Linked DNA regions of Caenorhabditis elegans. Each later gene encodes a partner of the first gene's protein in a complex. Each region holds a gene or a part of one and is shown on either strand. Other genes may lie near its edges.

What was found. The genes of interacting proteins can lie anywhere in the genome.
Region 2: pat-2 (region 1) and unc-112 share a complex: the UniProt entries of both Caenorhabditis elegans proteins name them as parts of the integrin containing attachment complex.

The regions. Positions count from the first base shown.
Region 1 is NC_003281.10:8,816,075-8,826,404, reverse strand, and holds pat-2 (Integrin alpha pat-2), read right to left. Parts: upstream 7,507-10,330; 5' UTR 7,504-7,506; coding exon 7,331-7,503; intron 7,284-7,330; coding exon 7,046-7,283; intron 7,000-7,045; coding exon 6,876-6,999; intron 6,559-6,875; coding exon 6,147-6,558; intron 6,084-6,146; coding exon 5,854-6,083; intron 5,605-5,853; coding exon 5,129-5,604; intron 5,073-5,128; coding exon 4,936-5,072; intron 4,844-4,935; exon of another isoform or gene 4,752-4,843; intron 4,712-4,751; coding exon 4,517-4,711; intron 4,043-4,516; coding exon 3,331-4,042; intron 2,874-3,330; coding exon 2,037-2,873; intron 1,574-2,036; coding exon 1,427-1,573; 3' UTR 1,131-1,426; downstream 1-1,130. Other genes in the region: F54F2.9 (DnaJ homolog subfamily C member 1), read left to right, coding at 1-428, 489-798, 942-1,050. UniProt on the Caenorhabditis elegans protein: Required for muscle development probably through the regulation of the actin-myosin cytoskeleton. Component of an integrin containing attachment complex, which is required for muscle maintenance.
Region 2 is NC_003283.11:14,691,355-14,699,569, reverse strand, and holds unc-112 (Protein unc-112), read left to right. Parts: upstream 1-2,915; 5' UTR 2,916-2,940; coding exon 2,941-3,023; intron 3,024-3,441; coding exon 3,442-3,506; intron 3,507-4,500; coding exon 4,501-4,768; intron 4,769-5,007; coding exon 5,008-6,185; intron 6,186-6,255; coding exon 6,256-6,659; intron 6,660-7,253; coding exon 7,254-7,418; 3' UTR 7,419-7,708; downstream 7,709-8,215. Other genes in the region: set-5 (SET domain-containing protein), read right to left, coding at 34-600; gasr-8 (uncharacterized protein), read right to left, coding at 7,709-7,909. UniProt on the Caenorhabditis elegans protein: Component of an integrin containing attachment complex, which is required for muscle development and maintenance. Probable regulator of cell-extracellular matrix adhesion. Required during initial muscle assembly to form dense bodies and M-lines.

The DNA.
Region 1 (10,330 bases):
TATCGCTCATTACCTGATGATGTGGGCGGCATATTTCGAGAAAACTCTTGTCTACAAACAAAATGTGAAAAAATCGCGAAAATCGAAAAAAGAAGATCCAGCGGAAGCAGAAAAATTGATGAAACAAGCACTTGAAGAGTATCTTCCAAAATATTCAGAACTTCTTCCAATTATTCTTGCTAGAGGTACAGTAACCCTCTTCAAAAACTTGGCATTGACTGCTAAAGATGCTATGACACCTAAAGAAGTTGAACCTGAAGAACCAACAGAAGAGGAGTTGGCTCAACAGAGAAGGCAACAAAGAGCAGCAGCGGCACCCCAGCAACTAGAGTTTAAATTTGAAGTGGCTCAAGGTATGAAAGCAGTTTCCACAAATGATCCTGAGATGGAGAAAAAGTATGCAGCAGAAAATGAAGTTGTAGCACAGAGTAAGTTAATTTATCAGAAAAAAGGTTTCTGAACTCTACTCAATGATCTTTTAATTTCAGAACAATCTGGAGCAACATGGACGCCTGATGAATTAGCTAGTCTGGTTCGACTGAGCACTGAAAAATACCCGGCTGGAACACCGAATCGTTGGGAACAAATGGGTCGAGTTTTGAATAGAAGTGCAGAAGACGTTATTGCAATGGCTGGAAAAATGAAACAGATGAAGCAAGAGGATTATACGAAATTGTTGATGACAACTATTCAACAATCAGTACCAGTTGAAGAGAAATCAGAAGATGATTGGAGTCAAGCTGAGCAGAAGGCTTTTGAAACCGCATTGCAGAAATATCCAAAGGGAACTGATGAAAGGTTAGCTTGGAAACTAGAAATGGGTATTTTGAAATTGAGAACGCTCATCCTCCAAGCGTTGGGTTTCGTTAGGTATTGACGGTAAAATTTCTGGGTCCCCATAATATAATATCCAGAGGAATGTTTTAAATATTAAATTTCAGGTGGGAAAGAATCTCCGAAGAAATTGGAAGCAAAACGAAGAAACAAGTGATGGTCAGATTCAAGCAATTGGCTGAGATGATTCGAAAAAAGAAAACCAATGATACCTAGTTTTGTCATAATATTTATTCCGTTTTTTTGTTGGTCGGGTTTGATGAAATTCCAAAATTTATTGTTTTAGACGCGTTTTAAATATTTATTTATTTATTAAATTTTTATTAATAAATTGATGATAATAAAAGAAAAAACATCAAAAATATCGACTAGAAACATGTCAATGTATTGGTAATTAATTGGAAAACAAAGAAACATAATATGAACATATAAAGCACCAAATTGAGCGGAGATTCCGAAAAACGATCGAACATGAAAGTAAGATTGGGGGGCAAGGCACGACAAGAGGACTAAATTGGGACCAAAATGATAATTTTAAAAAGACACCCGCAGATGTGAATAGTAAAGAATAAGGAACAAAAAATGGAAAATATTATAGCATTTGTCCGTGACGTCCCTGATTGTACTGATCTTGTGATGTATAACGGGATTGACTATCAGCGTATTGAGCATTTGGTTGACGGTCGGCACGGAGTTCTGCATGCTCAGTTGGTGGACGATTACGTTTGAAGAAACCACACTGAAAATTAGATTATTATTATTTATTTTCTGAGGGAAACTGTAAATTTGTTTCGAAATTGGTTGTATACTGTAGTCGCTCTGATCTACCTATATTCTACAGTACCCCCGACGTAAGCTCGCCGTGGACGTTGCTGTGAAATTTTCGAAAGCGTGTGAGCACAGCTTTAATGTCGTAGGCAACTTCTTTTAAATTCAGTTTTTCTTAATCTTTGTGACAATCATTTTTTACCTTTCGAAAATGGCAGAGTTTGAACCATAAACTTTTCTCGCGGCGAGGCCCATCCGAATAAATCAATGAGGCTTTGAGAAACCGCTTCACAAAATTGGAAATTAAGATATAATTTTTGCTGCGTCACAAGTAAGCATGAAAGTTGGCGAAAGAACTTTAATTTAACTTGCAAGCCAATATCTATGTTGTTATGTAATAAATCGTATTTTTGAAAATTAAATTTGAAACTCACCCTCCAGAGCAGTAAAATAAGAAGAATCAAAATGGCAAGTCCAATAAGAATAGCCAAAAGATAAAGCCACCAAGGAAGATCTCTTCCTTCTTCAGAAGCAATTGCATTCATATTTGTAGATACTGCTGTTATCAATGTTGGCTTATGTGGAAGATTGTATTTAGTAGATGTGACACGAGCAAGAGCCAACGATGAAATGTCTCCTCCAGGATTTTTCTCATCAACCAATGTGTTTGTGTATAATCTAGAGAAGATTTCCACAAGTACAAACTCGTCTTCTTTAAGATCATAAATATCACATTCAATATGTGTACATCTCAATGAATTACAATCAACAGATGCTCTTGATAGTGGTCCCTTATAATCAACAACTCCTCCAGCTTCCTTCGAAAGTTTAACAGCTTCACGAAGATCAGAGAATCTAGCCTTATCACTTCTTGGTTCACCACGGTGTTCTCCTCCCTTCTTCTTCTTCTTTGGTGTTGGATTTCTTTTAACTCTCTTACTTCCAGCTCTATCAAAATCTTCATCATCTTCCTCTTCAAAATCATCTCCATCATATTCCTGATCGTCTGGAATATATTCATAATCTCCCTTCTTCTTTTTATCCTCAACATATTGCCAATTTCCAGTATTCTGACGAATCTTCTCCTCGTCTTTTTCGTATACATGTACTGGACCAGATTGATGATGAGTTTGATGTTGTGTAGATTGATGACGTGTTGATTGGGATTGAGTTGTTGTTTCATCTTCATATGATTCATCATCTTCTTCTCTTGAATATTCATTTGGTGTCTTGGCAACTGGTGGTTCAGTTGGAACATGCTCATTTGTTATCTGAAATTTTAATTCGTTTTTAATGTGCGACAGTAATTTTTTGTGAACATTTATAAAATAAGATGTTCAGGATTCTGAATTGAAAAAAGTGAAGTTTGTCAGCCCGAACCGGAAAATCAATTTTTTTTGTGATATTTCAGCATATTCGATTGTTTCCAATATTTTTTTTTAACTCGCCGATTCTAAACATTTCAGAAACTGACGAAAACAATTCTTCAAAATTTCCCAAGAAATTTGAATTTTATCCTAAAAATGATAAAGTTTCTTACTTCTATTTCTAAAACAAAATAGTTCCTTCCGTATTTCACTGCAATTTTAAATGTACAGAGTTATAAAATTCAGTGTCTACAGAAATTGGGGATTTGCAACGACTATGAGATCGTGGCAAGACCCACTCAGAAAAACAGCGTGTACCTTTAAAGTAATGTCTAGAAATTTAAAAATTATTCAAACGTACCCTCAAATTCAATGGATTAACATTTTGCAGTTGTTTGACCCGACATCTTCCTTTATTTGGTGGATTAACAACTGGTTCTGTGATAATGTACAGAAGATGACCTCCTTCAGTGGAAAATGATGGCCAGAAGATATCCAAAGTAGCTGAGTCAACCTCAGATGGACCACGATTACTGATTTGATAAAGATGTGAAACAACTGGACCAATTTCATTGTCATCGAAAGCATCTACACGTGTTTTGTTCGTCATTGAGAAATCGACTTGTTCGGGATTTGATCTACCATTCAAACTCAATTGATTCTTAAAATCAACTGGAATAGTGAATGTGACTTTATTATCAGCAACAGTATGAGCTTCTTCATCATTACTACTGTTCACATGAGCATTAATACTGATTGGAGCAAGTGGAGGTTTATCAGAAGAAGCAGTCACTCTTACAACACTACTAACTACTTTGTTAGCTGGAAGTGGATTGCCGAGATCACATGCAAAAGTCCATTTTCCATCCGAATCTGGTTCATCGGAAGTTGGAGAACAAGCTGGAGCAGACTTGCTTCCATCTCCACCAACACTTTCAATTCCACCGTATTCGAATCCTTGTGGAACATCGAAATAAAGTTTTGTCTCATATGAATCTTCTCCTCCATTTTGAACTGTTACATTGATAAGCATTGTATTGTCTTGAGTTCCCAAAAGGAATTTCTCACGATCACTGAAAAAATATGTTTAAAAGAATTTAATTGCTGGCATTTGGTTTATAGGTTTAGGAATAATTATTTTAATGATATGATTTCACTGAAAATTTCGCCGATTCCGTGAAGAAAAGAAACATACAATCTTCGTGGAATTATTTTGACAGGAAAATCCTGAAGCAAACATTTTAAAAATGGCTGTGAACTTGTCTCATTATAAAAAATGTTTTGAAAATTGTCGAGTTAGGTTACATTGTATTTTGTGTTATATTCAATTTTTCTCGCTCATTTCCTTATATTTTTTTGAAAATTTTAAAATTAGAGTAATGATTAAAACATTTCGAGACAAACCCATTTTTTCAATAATTTTTCAAACTTACTGTAATGAGGATTTTCAATGTTTCCCTTTCTTTTATATTCAATGAAAAAATGGCATATTTAATGTATTTTTTCAACACTTTTTATCGATCATTTTGAAAATTAAAAAAACTTACGCAACAGCGGTAACCTTCAAATCAGGAACACAAAGATCATCTTTTCCACAATTATTTGCAATATTAATCTTATTTTGGAATGAAAGTGGTACAGTTGTGTCAATTGCTGGTTCAAGCTTATCACCACGAAGTTTTCCGGTTTTTGATTCAACATATGTGTAGTTGACGGACCAATGAATTGGGGAGAGCTTGTCTCTGAAATTATTTTATTTTTGATTTTTAGAAAACATTTTATTTTCTAATTTGAAGGTTTGCAAAGCATACGAACTATTTTACATTCAAAAATTAGCCTTGAACTTTTTTTCACAGCAGAGCAAACATTTTCTCAATTTTTTCTGATAAAAAAATTTAAAAAGTTGTGGTCATTTTGAGTTGAAAAACTTTGAAAGAAAATCAAAATATTTTCTCTGAAAACTCACTTCATTGTGGAAGAAGCAAAGAATCGATGTCTGAAACACTTTTGTCGTCCCTTCTCAAGACGAACACGTTGTTCGATTGAAGATGGATGGTCTCTTGTTTTAGATCCTTGTGCAACTTTAATGCTTCTGTCAGATTTCTGAAATATTATTATTGTGTTAAAAATTTTTATCTAGTTTTAAAAAAGTGACCTACCACATCTTTTTGCAAGAAATAAGCTCTTGGTTCAGGAGAATGATCATCAAGATTGAATCGAAGATCAAATTCCAAATCATTTGGTGTATCTCCTTTTCCTTCATATTTGAAACATGTATTAATATGTTTGCATGCCTGTTTTCCCAATTTTCCATCAACATCGCAATTCTTATCTTCTACACTGATCAATGCACTCTCTGGTTCAGTTTGTCCCGTGACAGTGACAACTGGTTTTGTGAGTAAAACAGCTGCATTTCCAGATTTCCATGCTCCAACTGCAATGTCTGGCATTCCATTTCCATCAACATCTTCGTTTCCAGTAAGGGAGAAGCCAAATGATTTGATATTTCCATGACCAATATTGGCTCCTTCGATCTTCTGAGTTGGTAGTTCGCGAACACCATCTTTGGATCCGTGGATCACATAAACAGCTCCTTGTTTGTTTTTTCCAGCATATGGTGCACCAACAATTACATCTGAAAAACACTATTTTGTAATTTAAAATTTCCAACAAAAAATGCAATAAATTTCCATAGCGGTTCAAATGAGATTGAAAGTTCAAAATGCCGCACAAATTTCCGATAATCTAGGATTTTTTATGTCTAAAGAAATTGTTAAATTAAGAAAAAGAAAAGTGAAAATACGAAAACTAAATTTGAATTTCCGCGTAAAATAATTTCTGTGAGAAATTCAAATTCGTTCATTTTTAGTAGCAAAATCCCTACCATTATAACCATCCAAATTCAAGTCTCCAGCTGCTGCGACTGCGTGTCCAAATCGTCCCCACTGATCATCTCCAACAACTGCAATCTGTTTTCCAAAGACTCCTGGAGCAGTTTGAAGCATCACAATGACCTTTCCGACATCGTATTGTGGTTTTCTTTCTTGTGTTTTTGCGTCTTTCACGCTACCGTAATCTGTGTAGAATGGGCAGCCCATGATAATGTCGTCGCGTCTGAAATTAATACAGAGAATATTTAGAGAATTGTAATTTTATGTGTTTGTGAATCTCACTTACCCATCTTTATTTACATCAGCAACTGCAACAGATCCTCCACAATATTGTCCATGTTGAGTTGACACCTCATCAGTCAAATTGATCATCATCTTCAGTTTCGACGTGTATAACACCAATTTTCCGTGCAAATCGTTTCCACGTGGAACTCCGGCAACAATATCATCAATACCATCTCCATCAAAATCTCCAGTTGCTGTAGAATATCCCATCATATCGTGATCGTATTCCTTGCTACCGTACTCGGTATTCGGGCGGTCTGTCTGATTTTTGATGTTCTGTGAGAACATTGCTCCTTGCCAATACCACACACCGGGGGCTCCAATAAAAACACGATTTTGATTCTTCTTTCCTGGAACTGCAGCCGAGAATCCGCACTGACCGTATCCAAGACGATGACGACCGTGGCGAGCAGCTGTAATTTTTCATCTAATTTTTTATAAAGTTACCAATTGTTCGAACTCTGAACTATTCCAAAAGGTTCAACAATTTTCAGATTTTTTTCAGGAGCCTCTAGAAGTTTCTAGAATTTTCCAAAAAAATCTCAAAATTTTAAGACGTTTTTAACAGTGTCTTGAGGGTTGCAGAAACTTTTCAAACTATTAAAATATTCCTGCAATTCCTCAAAATTTTCAGAAGTTTCTAGAACTTCCCAGAACTTTCTTTTCTCGAACTCCTTTTTCCAAAACTACAGTACCCCTGCAGTACCAATTAAGTATCCCCAAAACATACGTTCTTGTTTGCACGATGAAAACTCCTCCGCATTATCAAATCCATTTTCAGCATAGAAACAGGTTCCAACTGGCTCAATAACTTCGAATTTTGAGTAGAAATATGTGTATTTTGGAGCACACACCTGGAAATTTAATTTTTAATTTTCAAACTCCGCAGAATAAACCTACCACAATTTTATCATGCTTATCATTTGATCGAACAGTTGCACCAAAGAATTGATGTGATTTTTCTTCAATTGGAACAAGATGTGATCCATTGAGTTTCTTCAAGTTTCCCTTCATTTTATCCACGTGGACTTCTCGGCATGTTGCCCGGTTCACGGAGCAAGCATAAACTGCTCCAGGTCTTCGGATTCCAGCCAGGTTTGGGTTATTGCTTTCAGCTTCAGGGGCACCGACAACGAGGCTGAAATTTTTGAATGTAAAATCTGTTCAGTTAATTCAATAACTTACACAGGCATTCCCTTCTGCTCATGGTAAAAATCGAGTGAGTATCCAAAGTAGTTACCAGCCATGTGATGAACCACTACATTTTTTGTGTCGATGTTGAAGGTGGCAACTCCGGCTAAAAGGCCCAGTAAGCCTAGAAGCAAGCCGATCCTTCGCGGAAAACTACCCTCTCGCATCTACTGGAAATTTGGAATTCGGTTTTTTGAAAACAATCAGAAAGAAGTTTGCAACGAGTATACGGAAGATGAAACGATTTTAGAAGTTGATTGAATAGAAAAAAAATTTCAAAATCTCAAATTCAAAAGTTCCAAGAAATATTTTTGAAAGGGAAAATAAAGAACTTTGCTTGAATTTTAATTTTGGAACGTTTTTCATGTCTAAATGAATTAAATTCAAAGTAGCGACCAATTTCACTGAGATAATTTCAAATTCTCAGTTAACATGTGGATCAATGAAGCCTAATCGGTGTCTTTTCCAAAAACCGGAAGGAAGGAAAAATGGAATTGAACAGAGCACACGCGATTGCGAAACAAAGAACTGACCCTCCGAAGACGACAAGTCATTTATAATTGAGAAGGGAGCTCTACGAGCATTTGACACACTCACATTGAGTCATGAACATATCAAGAAATGAATTGAACGAACAGGAGAAGTGAGCGAACGGAAATTAACGGGGGAACAAAATGACCCGTGACACGTGGAGCAAGATTGATGAAGAAGCAAAGTAAGGAGCAATTCGAATTTTGCATAAATCTCAATATTTGTTGTGTATTGAGCGAGAGCCAACAACAATATTTTCTCAAATGCTCAATTGAACTATTTCAAAATGTTTTGACTGTTGAAAGTTGTTTGCTGGAACCTCTAGCTTTTGAGTTGTACTCATTCGAAAATCTTTAAAATTACCGGAGAACCCTCAAAATATTCAGAATATTGGCTGGACTACGAGTTAAAAATCAGAAATTCGAAGTTTGTGAAAAACGTACAAAAAGGAAATTCCGAAACAAAACTGGCATCTGGAGACTCATAGTTATCCCATGAATTTCCGAAAAATACGATGAGTCAAGAGTCGTTTGAAATAGAGAAGGGAGGAAGGGACACATAGTTTCTTCAGTTTCCGGATAGTTATCAAACATATGTCTAATGGTGAGAGAGTGTGAGAGACGAAGAGACGTAGACATTGATGGAAGCATGAATTGAGGATGAAATTGGGAGGATGGAAGGGGGCGGAGGAAGAGGCACCACTTATTTGGGGACACGAGAAGCAATTAGTTTGGAATCAAGTAGATATGCAGTTACTATTTTTGAAACACCAAAGAGATTTTCTAATATTTTGAAAAACTTGCAAAATTATTATAATAGTAGACGTTCAATCTGACCAGACCAAAATTTGATAATTGAATTCAATTTTTGAACCTACTTGGAATATCAGGGAAACTTCCTGCCAAAATTCGACAATAAGTTGCCACAGATTTTAAAGTTTTTAAAGTTTCAGTTTTCACAGTGAAATCTAGTTAATTCAAGTACATAAATATTGTGGTCAAAAACGTATTGCACCAATACTAATAGAACAAATACGGCACTTTCTCCAATATTTGTAGTATGTGTTTTAAAAATCACGCCTACTTGAAGCCCATCAGTATACGAACAACATTTTATATATTGGTGAAAAGTTCATGTAATAGAGAGTATTGGGATGTGGGCATGAAGTAATTGTCAGTAGAATCCAAGATATGGTTGACTGGTGACTGTTCCCTCTCCGACAAAAAGGTCATGTTTTGAATAGAGAGGAACAAGTGATAAATTGAGGGAACGGGGGGAGGATGAATTAATTGGGTGGTTAGGAGGAAAATGAATTTTTGGAAAAAAAAGATGTCGACAAGATTTAAGGGAAGTTAAATTAGGAGGTAGGTTTTGAAAAAAGAATCTTAAATTGATGGGTCATTTGTGAAAAGTAACGTTGACTAACTAAGCAACAAAAAAATCATAATCCCTTCTATAAAGATTAATAATCTTCATAATAGCTTTTCAACTAATACATGGTGAACATTACCGTTTCATTACAACCTAAAACAATTAAATATTTATTACCGATCATTCTTTTTGATTGTCAAGAATTGCAATCATAGGAAAGTCGAACATTTATAGAATTCAAATCGGCGACGCACAAAGGTATCAATGTTAAAACCAAGCATTTTACTATTATAATAAAGTACTTAATTGTGCGAATTATACGATCTTAGTCAATAAAACAATTTCCAGAAATTTCATTTCCAAATCCAGGAATAATAAATCAAAGAATCCCAAGAGCAGGTGGTGCAGGTGCTCATGGAGCACACTTTTTGAAGAAAGAATAGGGGTCTCGCCGTTGGTAGTGAATTCTCAATGATGCATTCGAGCGAGAACAATTTTTTTTGTTGAAAGAAGAATGTGAGACATTCGGTGAGACAGAGAATATTCAGAGTGTCGAAAATGAACAATATACTCTTTGCAGGAAAATTACTGAAGAAGCTGGGTGTTGGAATTTTTTAGATGGATTTATAATTTAGTATAGAAATGCCAAATTTTTGTCTGAAATCAGATAAGAGCTTGGTTTTTACACAATATTTTATTTGATTTTTGAAAAACATTTGATGATTACTTGATACTTTTTAATTCAGAAAACAGCGGGATAGCCTATTATTATTGGAAAAAAATGTCAAGAAGGGTTTGAATAATAGACGTAAATAAGGGCCTACGAAGAACCTTAAAACTTCAAGTTTTACGTATGATTTCTTCACTCAGAACTGAGCAAATTATGTTGTCGATTTATGTTGAGAACTGTTCGATTGTACAGTCCTCTAAAAAGATTCTCCTAAATAATTTTTTAAAAAGCTTTAATCCCCTGAGAAAAAAATCTACGAAGCTACGGTTACTGTAGCTATTGTGTTTTTTTTTTAAATAATGAGTTCCCACTTTTTGAGATTTCACAACTCGATATGCAAAATTGTAGAAAAATTCAATGAG
Region 2 (8,215 bases), on another chromosome or scaffold:
CAATTTTCTTAAATTCGGCACATTTCAACATACAGAGAGTTCCGGCGGTTTCCAATAACCATCATTCTGAATATACTTTCTCTTCCATTCCCGTCGACAATTCTCAGAATCCTCCAAGTGCACAGTACATTTTAATGAACAATTCAAAGGAAAGAAATCGTCATTAAAATCGATAGTAATCTCATGTCCATATGGAATGAAGTCTCTTGCTTTGATAATTATATGGAATTCTGTATTGTTTCTTTCATAACTAAGATAACTATTCGGAAAGCAGCTTCTTCGGACAAATCTTCCAGGATTATTTCCAGTCCCTCGAGCATCCAAACAGACACATCCGTATGTGAATAGAAAGTTCACATTTCGAGAATCTTCTTGAAGTTCATGATGAAATGCCAATAATCCTCGAATCCTCACAATTGGCTCGTCCGGCTCGATGTCTAGATTTGAGACGAGAGCTCTGTTGATTAAATAGGATTTCGAAATTTCGATACTGCGACACTTTTTTCCGAAACTTCGAACTTCTGTGATGGGGAATAGTGTCGGAAGCAGCTCCTCGACGTTTTTCGAAATGATTGTTGATGATTTGTTTTTCGGGTTCATTATAATGCGATCTGAATAAATTTCAAATTAATTTTGGCAATGAAAATATGGATTAAAATAGAAATAAGCCTGCAAGCATAGAGGAAACCAGATTTTCGGTTTTTTTTTTCAGAAAAATGACAAAAATTAAGCGCAGGAATGAAAATAGATGAAAAAAAACCGTTTCTTCGAACATTTGTAGAATTTGTGTTGGTTTTTTTTAAAAGGATAATGCGAAATTTTGGAGTTATATGCACTTCACTGAAAAACGGATAGTTCTAATGGGAAGGAAAATTCTTATTCGTGAAGTTATTGGGCCCATTTTCTTCAATTTGCTCGATGATTTAAGAGGCACTGAAGAAAATGCGAGGAAATTATTTTTTTTAATTGTCTGACTCTACGGATTTTTTTTTAATATCCACTATTTTTTCGGGATTTTTTTTTTGATAATTCTCTGTTTTGAACAAGATTTTATAACACAGAAACATAGGAAAATGCCGAACTTTAGCTCTGAAAACTATTAAAAGTTATTTTTATCATGAAGTACAATTTTTCACGGAGAAACCCGACACAAATAAAAGTTTTACGTGATGTTCAACGTTTAATATAAATTTTCAAACAAATAAATCGAATATTGGCCAAAAAAACTAAAGAAAACAGAGTAAAAAGTTCAAAAATAAGATTGCAATTGTTGAAAAACAATGAAAACAATTGCTCGTAAAGTTATGGCGAAGTACGCAAAAGCCTCTGCGTACTTCGCAATCTACCGTAGTCATCAATTAATTTTTTTGTCAGTCGCGCGCGACAACATGTCGTGCCGTGCCGAGAAATACTGCATAGGATATAAAAACAAAGAAACGTTAAGTGATAGCTGAAAATATCAGTTTGATTTAAATGGCTACAAGGTTATTCCTTGACACAAAAAATATCCCGTAGGGAAAACTACAGTAATTCTTTAACATCTTTAAATTTCGATTTAAATTTCGGAAACATTGATTTATCGATTGAATATTGAAATTAAGCCGAAAATTAAAAACTAATACGAGGAAACGAAGAAAAATGAATATCGATGTCACTATTCGAAAAGAAAATCATTTCAAAAATCCGTAAATCGACTAAAGCGCTACAGTAGTCATTTTAAGTATTAATATAGTTCTCGCTACGAGATATTTTGCGCACTATGCATTCTCAGAGTTTTGTGTTCCCGTATACACAGTGCTCAAATTCTTCGTCCAAAAAATTTCTGAGCTTATTTCAAGTTTGATCCAACTCTTGTTAATGTCTTATATAACTTTAAAACGATTCAAAAAACGATTAGGTCAAAAAGTTTGATTTTTAACGCCGCCAAAAAAATTTGCATACGCTTTATAAGCAACTTTTGTACCAAGTTTATATTTCTTTTGAGCCAGACTTGGACAAGAAGTTAGCATTTTGTGTCAGCGCATATTGAAATTTCACTACCATTTCTAATATACTGTAAAGGATAGTTACTTTTGTGGAAAATCTGAACTTTTATCAATTGCACCATAAAAGACGAGGTTACCAAGTGTTCACAGTATGAACTTCACACGTGGTGTTAGAGTGTCCCATTGATCTACGTAGTTCACATTGTTCACAAATGTTCACATTATCCAGATATTCTAATTCAGAAACTAGTATACACCTTTCTCCATTTCATTGCACTTCTCCATTCATACCCAACTACCCGTGATATCCTATACTTTTACTCTCTCTCTCTCATGTCCAATGTCCCTTCAGAAGCTGCTTCCTGGCATCTTCCTCCTCCTTCTTCTGCCAAATCTTTCTGCCAGCCGGGGGACGGGACTCTTTGTGTAATGTTGTCTTCTTCTTTTCCTTCATCTACAGCAGCATCGCCTACTGTCATTCCTTCCCATTCCCGCGTAGCCGCCTGCCGAGTGTCCTTCAACTCTCCGTCTCTTCTACAACTGTTCACTCTCTCTCGCTCTCTCATTGCATTTTGGAACATACAGATAGGGAGTCAGAGAGATAGAGAGTGAGAAAAGAAGCGGAGAGACGGTGTTGCTGTGAGTCAGAGACGAAGAGTGTGTACTGCTCCGGCCGTCCGTTTGTTCGTCCGCATCGGCAGTCTTTTCTCTCATTCTCTCATTCTTCAATGTTCTCTAGCCTCTTTTTTCGTTTATTTTATTCTGTATACACGTTCCTCTCTACCTGATATTCTCCCACACATAGCTTTTTTATTGATTTGTTGATTGTTGTTAAGCGGTTTTTTTTGTTTTCTATTCTATCTACCGTGGACGGAGAAAATACACTGTTTCTATAATTTGCTAATCTTTCCAACAACTAAAATATCTCAGTGGTTCTACCTAAATCACTTCAAACATGGCACATCTTGTTGAAGGAACCTCGATTATTGATGGAAAATGGCAATTGCCAATTTTGGTCACCGATTTGAATATTCAAAGGTGAGGATTTAAAATTATATATTTAGAAAATATTAACTTTCAATAGTACTGCATGTTTAGCAGTTGTTCTTAAATAACTGCAATTGCAGGAAGTTATAGAAAAAGATTCAATGCACATTTTCTGAATTCAAGTCATTTTGTCAGAATAAGTGATAATTGAGTTATTCTCGGATTGAGGTTAAGCCTAAACCAATCCTAGGCCCAAGCCTAAGTCTAAGTCTACGACTAACTATAAGAATAAGCCTAAGTCTACGCCGAAGCCTAGCCTAAGTTTAAGCTTAAGCTTAAGTTTAAGCCTTACCCTAAACCCTAGCCTAAATTTTCAGAAGATTCCGGTTAAATTTTTTTCCAAACATGAATGAGACATTTTCAAACTCAGAGTCTTCCAATTTCCAATAAATGTATTTATTTCTTCCAGAAGCATCTCTGTCCTTGGAAATCTTAATGTGGGAGGACTCATGCTCGAACTTGTTAGCGAATGCGGTGAGTTTTTTTTTCGAATCTTATCACCTCGGTCAAGATCTCAAAGATCTCAATAGACCATGATTTCTCTCTTTTCTACTCAATATAATCTGTTAGATATATCTGCCACTGTGTGCGCCTACGCGTTTGTTACAACGAAAAGATACGTGGTGTGTGCACCATTACGAAATGATGTTCAATATCAGTAAAAATTGAAGGCATGGGAAAATGTTGAAATCTGCTGGAAAAAAATGTTCTGGAAAGATAGGGAACACTTTTGGAAACACATCGTAACGGAGCCCTTGAAGAGTGCGCCAAGTGAAAAATTTCTCGTACAATTCTTTCAAGTTTGCTGAAAATTCGTATTTTGAATAAAACAGTTTAATTAAAAAGTTAATTTTTGAGAGATCTTCACGAAATTTTTTAGGGACTGTGAGCTCCGAAATAGTTGACAAGAAGTCCTCTATACATTTTGAAACATCATAGAAACTATGCGGAACCTATCAAATATTTATGGGCTCTTCTCATCTCCTACCAGTTGCTCTTCTCTTTCTTCTTTTTCTTTTCATCCTAACCCCTGTTAATGTTGACTATTCGAGTGCACGCGTGCGCATCTACATAAGCTGATTGTTTCGGATGGGACATTCGCTGTTGGGTACATAAAGTTTAGAGGCTTTCCTTGCAGAGATATAAGAGCACACAATGATAGGGGGTCCCAGGAGAGAGTATCAAAACTTGAGAAGCAACTGGCATTCATCATGACCAAGAGCAGAAAGGGCGCATAGGAGAGGCGCATAAAAACGTTTTGGAATTAAGTTTTCGCGCGATTTTTAGAACTTGCAGAAGCTGAAGGGATGAAGATTTTCTGCATTAGGGTATAACAATTTGTGTGCTCAATGTGTTTAATTTCCAAGTTCAAAATGTAATCATTTGGGCTTCAGCTGAACAAACAATTTACAAAACAGCTGTATTGAAACAAGAATCTAAAAAACTCCAAATATTTCTATTTTTCCAGATGTTGAACGAGATTGGTCTGATCATGCTCTGTGGTGGCCGGAGAAGCGGCGATGGCTTCAACATACTCGATCGACTCTTGACCAGAATGGAATTACAGCTGAAACACAATTGGAGTTCACACCAATGCATAAAGAAGCAAGAATTCAGTTACCAGATATGCAAATGATTGATGCGAGAGTTGATTTCTCGGTAAATTCATTCAAAGCAACAAAGAAATTGTGCCGTGATTTGGGTATTCGATATTCAGAGGAATTGTCTTTGAAGAGGTAAGTAGGAATTGGGAAGTTTTTGATGTTTTATTTTTAATTTAAATAAGAATGGAGTTGTGAAATTCCTTAGTTGGTTGAACGAGGATTGAAGATCCTTGGGAATCTTAAGCAACTAGGGAAAATCTATGCCTGATCGAAATCCTGCCCCAAAAGTTTGAGCAAGGTCAAAAGTTAACTACTACCGAGCATGTGAAATAACCCAATAATTCAAAATCATATAATTTAAAATATTACAGATATATTCCACCAGAGGATCTTCGACGTGGAACATCTGACGCCGACAACATGAACGGTCCACTCTCAATGCGTCCAGGAGAAGAATCAGTTGGACCAATGACTCTCCGTAAAGCTGCTCCAATCTTTGCTTCTCAATCGAATCTTGATATGCGCCGTCGTGGTCAATCACCCGCGCTCTCCCAATCTGGACACATTTTCAATGCTCACGAAATGGGAACTCTTCCTCGCCACGGAACATTGCCACGTGGTGTCAGTCCATCGCCAGGAGCATATAACGATACGATGAGAAGAACACCAATTATGCCAAGCATCAGTTTTAGTGAAGGACTTGAAAATGAGCAATTTGATGATGCTCTTATTCATTCACCAAGACTTGCTCCAAGCCGTGATACTCCAGTATTTAGACCTCAGAACTATGTGGAAAAAGCTGCGATTAATAGAGGATGGCTTGATTCTAGCAGATCACTTATGGAACAAGGAATTTTTGAAGGAGATATTATTTTACTACGATTCAAATTTATGAATTTCTTTGATTTGAATCCAAAATATGATCCAGTGAGAATTAATCAACTTTACGAGCAAGCAAAATGGAGCATTTTACTTGATGAATTCGATCACACAGAGGAAGAAGCCACACTATTTGCTGCTCTTCAACTTCAAGCAACCCTGCAAAGAGATTCTCCTGAACCTGAAGAAAATAATAAAGATGATGTGGATATTCTTTTGGACGAGCTTGAGCAAAACCTTGACGCAGCTGCTCTTAACAGACGATCAGATCTTACACAAGTTCCCGAGTTAGCAGATTATTTGAAATATATGAAACCAAAGAAATTGGCAGCATTCAAAGGATTTAAACGGGCATTCTTCTCGTTCCGTGACTTATATTTATCATATCATCAAAGCTCCTCAGATGTCAACTCAGCTCCACTTGGACACTTCTCATTGAAGGGATGTGAAGTTAGTCAGGATGTTTCAGTTGGACAGCAGAAGTATCATATCAAATTGTTACTTCCAACTGCTGAAGGAATGATTGACTTCATTTTGAAATGCGATTCCGAGCATCAATATGCCAGGTGGATGGCTGCGTGTCGGTTAGCATCCAGAGGGAAGTCAATGGCTGATTCGTCATATCAACAGGAGGTGGAGAGCATCAAAAACTTGCTCAAGATGCAAAGTGGTAAGTTGTTGATTTTACAATTTAATAAGTGATAATGAAATTATTTTCTTCGAATGAAACAATTTTTCAGGTAATGGAAACGAAAACGGAAACAGCAACACAGCTTCGCGAAAAGCCGCCGCTGTAAAACTACCAAATGATTTCAATGTTGATGAGTACATATCGTCGAAATACGTACGACGAGCACGCAGCAAGCAACAAATTCAACAGCGAGTATCAGATGCTCATGGAAATGTTCGACAACTCACGGCAACCGAAGCGAAACTTCAATATATCCGAGCATGGCAAGCACTTCCCGAACACGGAATTCATTATTTCATTGTAAGATTCCGAAATGCTAGAAAGGCGGAATTGGTGGCTGTTGCTGTGAATAGACTTGCAAAATTGAATATGGATAATGGAGAAAGTCTGAAGACATGGAGGTTTGCAAATATGAAGAAGTGGCATGTCAACTGGGAAATTCGACATCTCAAGGTTAGTTTTTGATGAATAAAATATTTAAGATCTGGACATGATCGGAAATCGAAAAATTGCAAAATGTTGAGAACGTTTTCGAGACCTATTCATCTAAGTTTCTTGTAACAACTTTCTGATTGTTAATCTATTTTGTGATGTCTTGAAATTACGTTTTCATCTCAAAATCTTTCCTAATATGTATATCTAAACACAAAGAACAATTGGCTTTCAAAAAATCTTTGTATTGTTTCAAAAATTATAATATTGCGTTTTTGATTCAATTGTTGTTTTCTATCCATAAGTCTATTCGCCGTAACTTACTAAAAAATTCAGGTCTTTGGTAATTTAAAATCTAAATCAGATAATGTTCTCAAAGACCGAAACTTTTTCGGTAAACTTGGTGCTGACAGGAAGGTAGGCAGACTTCATGCCTATTTGCCTACATGCCAGCGTTGCACCTTGAGCGTTTTAGAAATAAATTTTTAAAATCTGTTTTGTGCCTACATAAAAGGCTTAGATAAACCCGAAAATAACCGAGAACAAACTTTTTGAAATTAATTACTTTTTTTCTTTGAGTATACTATTTTATCATCCTATCTCCCCAATTTCCAGATTCAATTCGAAGATGAGGATATCGAATTCAAGCCACTTTCCGCTGATTGCAAAGTCGTTCACGAGTTCATCGGTGGATACATTTTCCTGTCAATGCGAAGCAAAGAACATTCTCAAAATCTTGATGAAGAACTTTTCCACAAACTTACAGGAGGATGGGCTTAGATATTTAAATTTCTATAATCTTTTGCAAACCAAAGAATTTTAATTTTAGGCTCCAATTCCATCTTTTTCGTTTCAAAATTTCAATATATATATTTGTTTTCTTTCATTTTTCTTGTTTCTCATTTCCCCCCTTCCCCTCTTCCAAATAATTTTTCGTTTTAATAAGACAAGTATACCGGATCGAAAAAAAGTTTTATGTGCCTTTTCATATCTATGGATTAATAATAATTGTATGAGAAAAATTGAAAAATATTATAAAAATTGAATAATAAAAACTGATGAATAAACATTTAAAATCTTCTTCCGCGTTCCTCGAGCTTTTCGAATTTTTGTTGATTGCTGATTTCTAGTCTTCCAACGTTTCGTTCAACTTCAATCAGCAACTGATCTCGCTCTTTTTCCAGTTTTTCAAATTCTCCCATCACAATATCATTGAGTTCCTTGTATTTTTCAACTTCTTTCCTCATATTCTCAACGTTTCGCATATCTCGCTGGAATAATAATCAGGAAATTATAGTCATTTTCCATCTTTTCTGGTAGTAGGCAAACGTAGGTACAAGGCAGGCAGGCACTGTTCTGCTATCTAGCTACCTACCTAACTACCTAGGAATCCTTAATCTGTTCTATTCAACCATATAAAATCAATAGTACAAAACATATCGGCAATATAAATTTGATAGAAAAAAAGCAAATAAGTTTGTATCCCGTTATTTAAAAATTTGTTTTCAAACGGATTGAAATCATGTGAAAACATGTTCAAGAAGTATCAAGAAATTTGAAACAAAATTTTCAAGCAA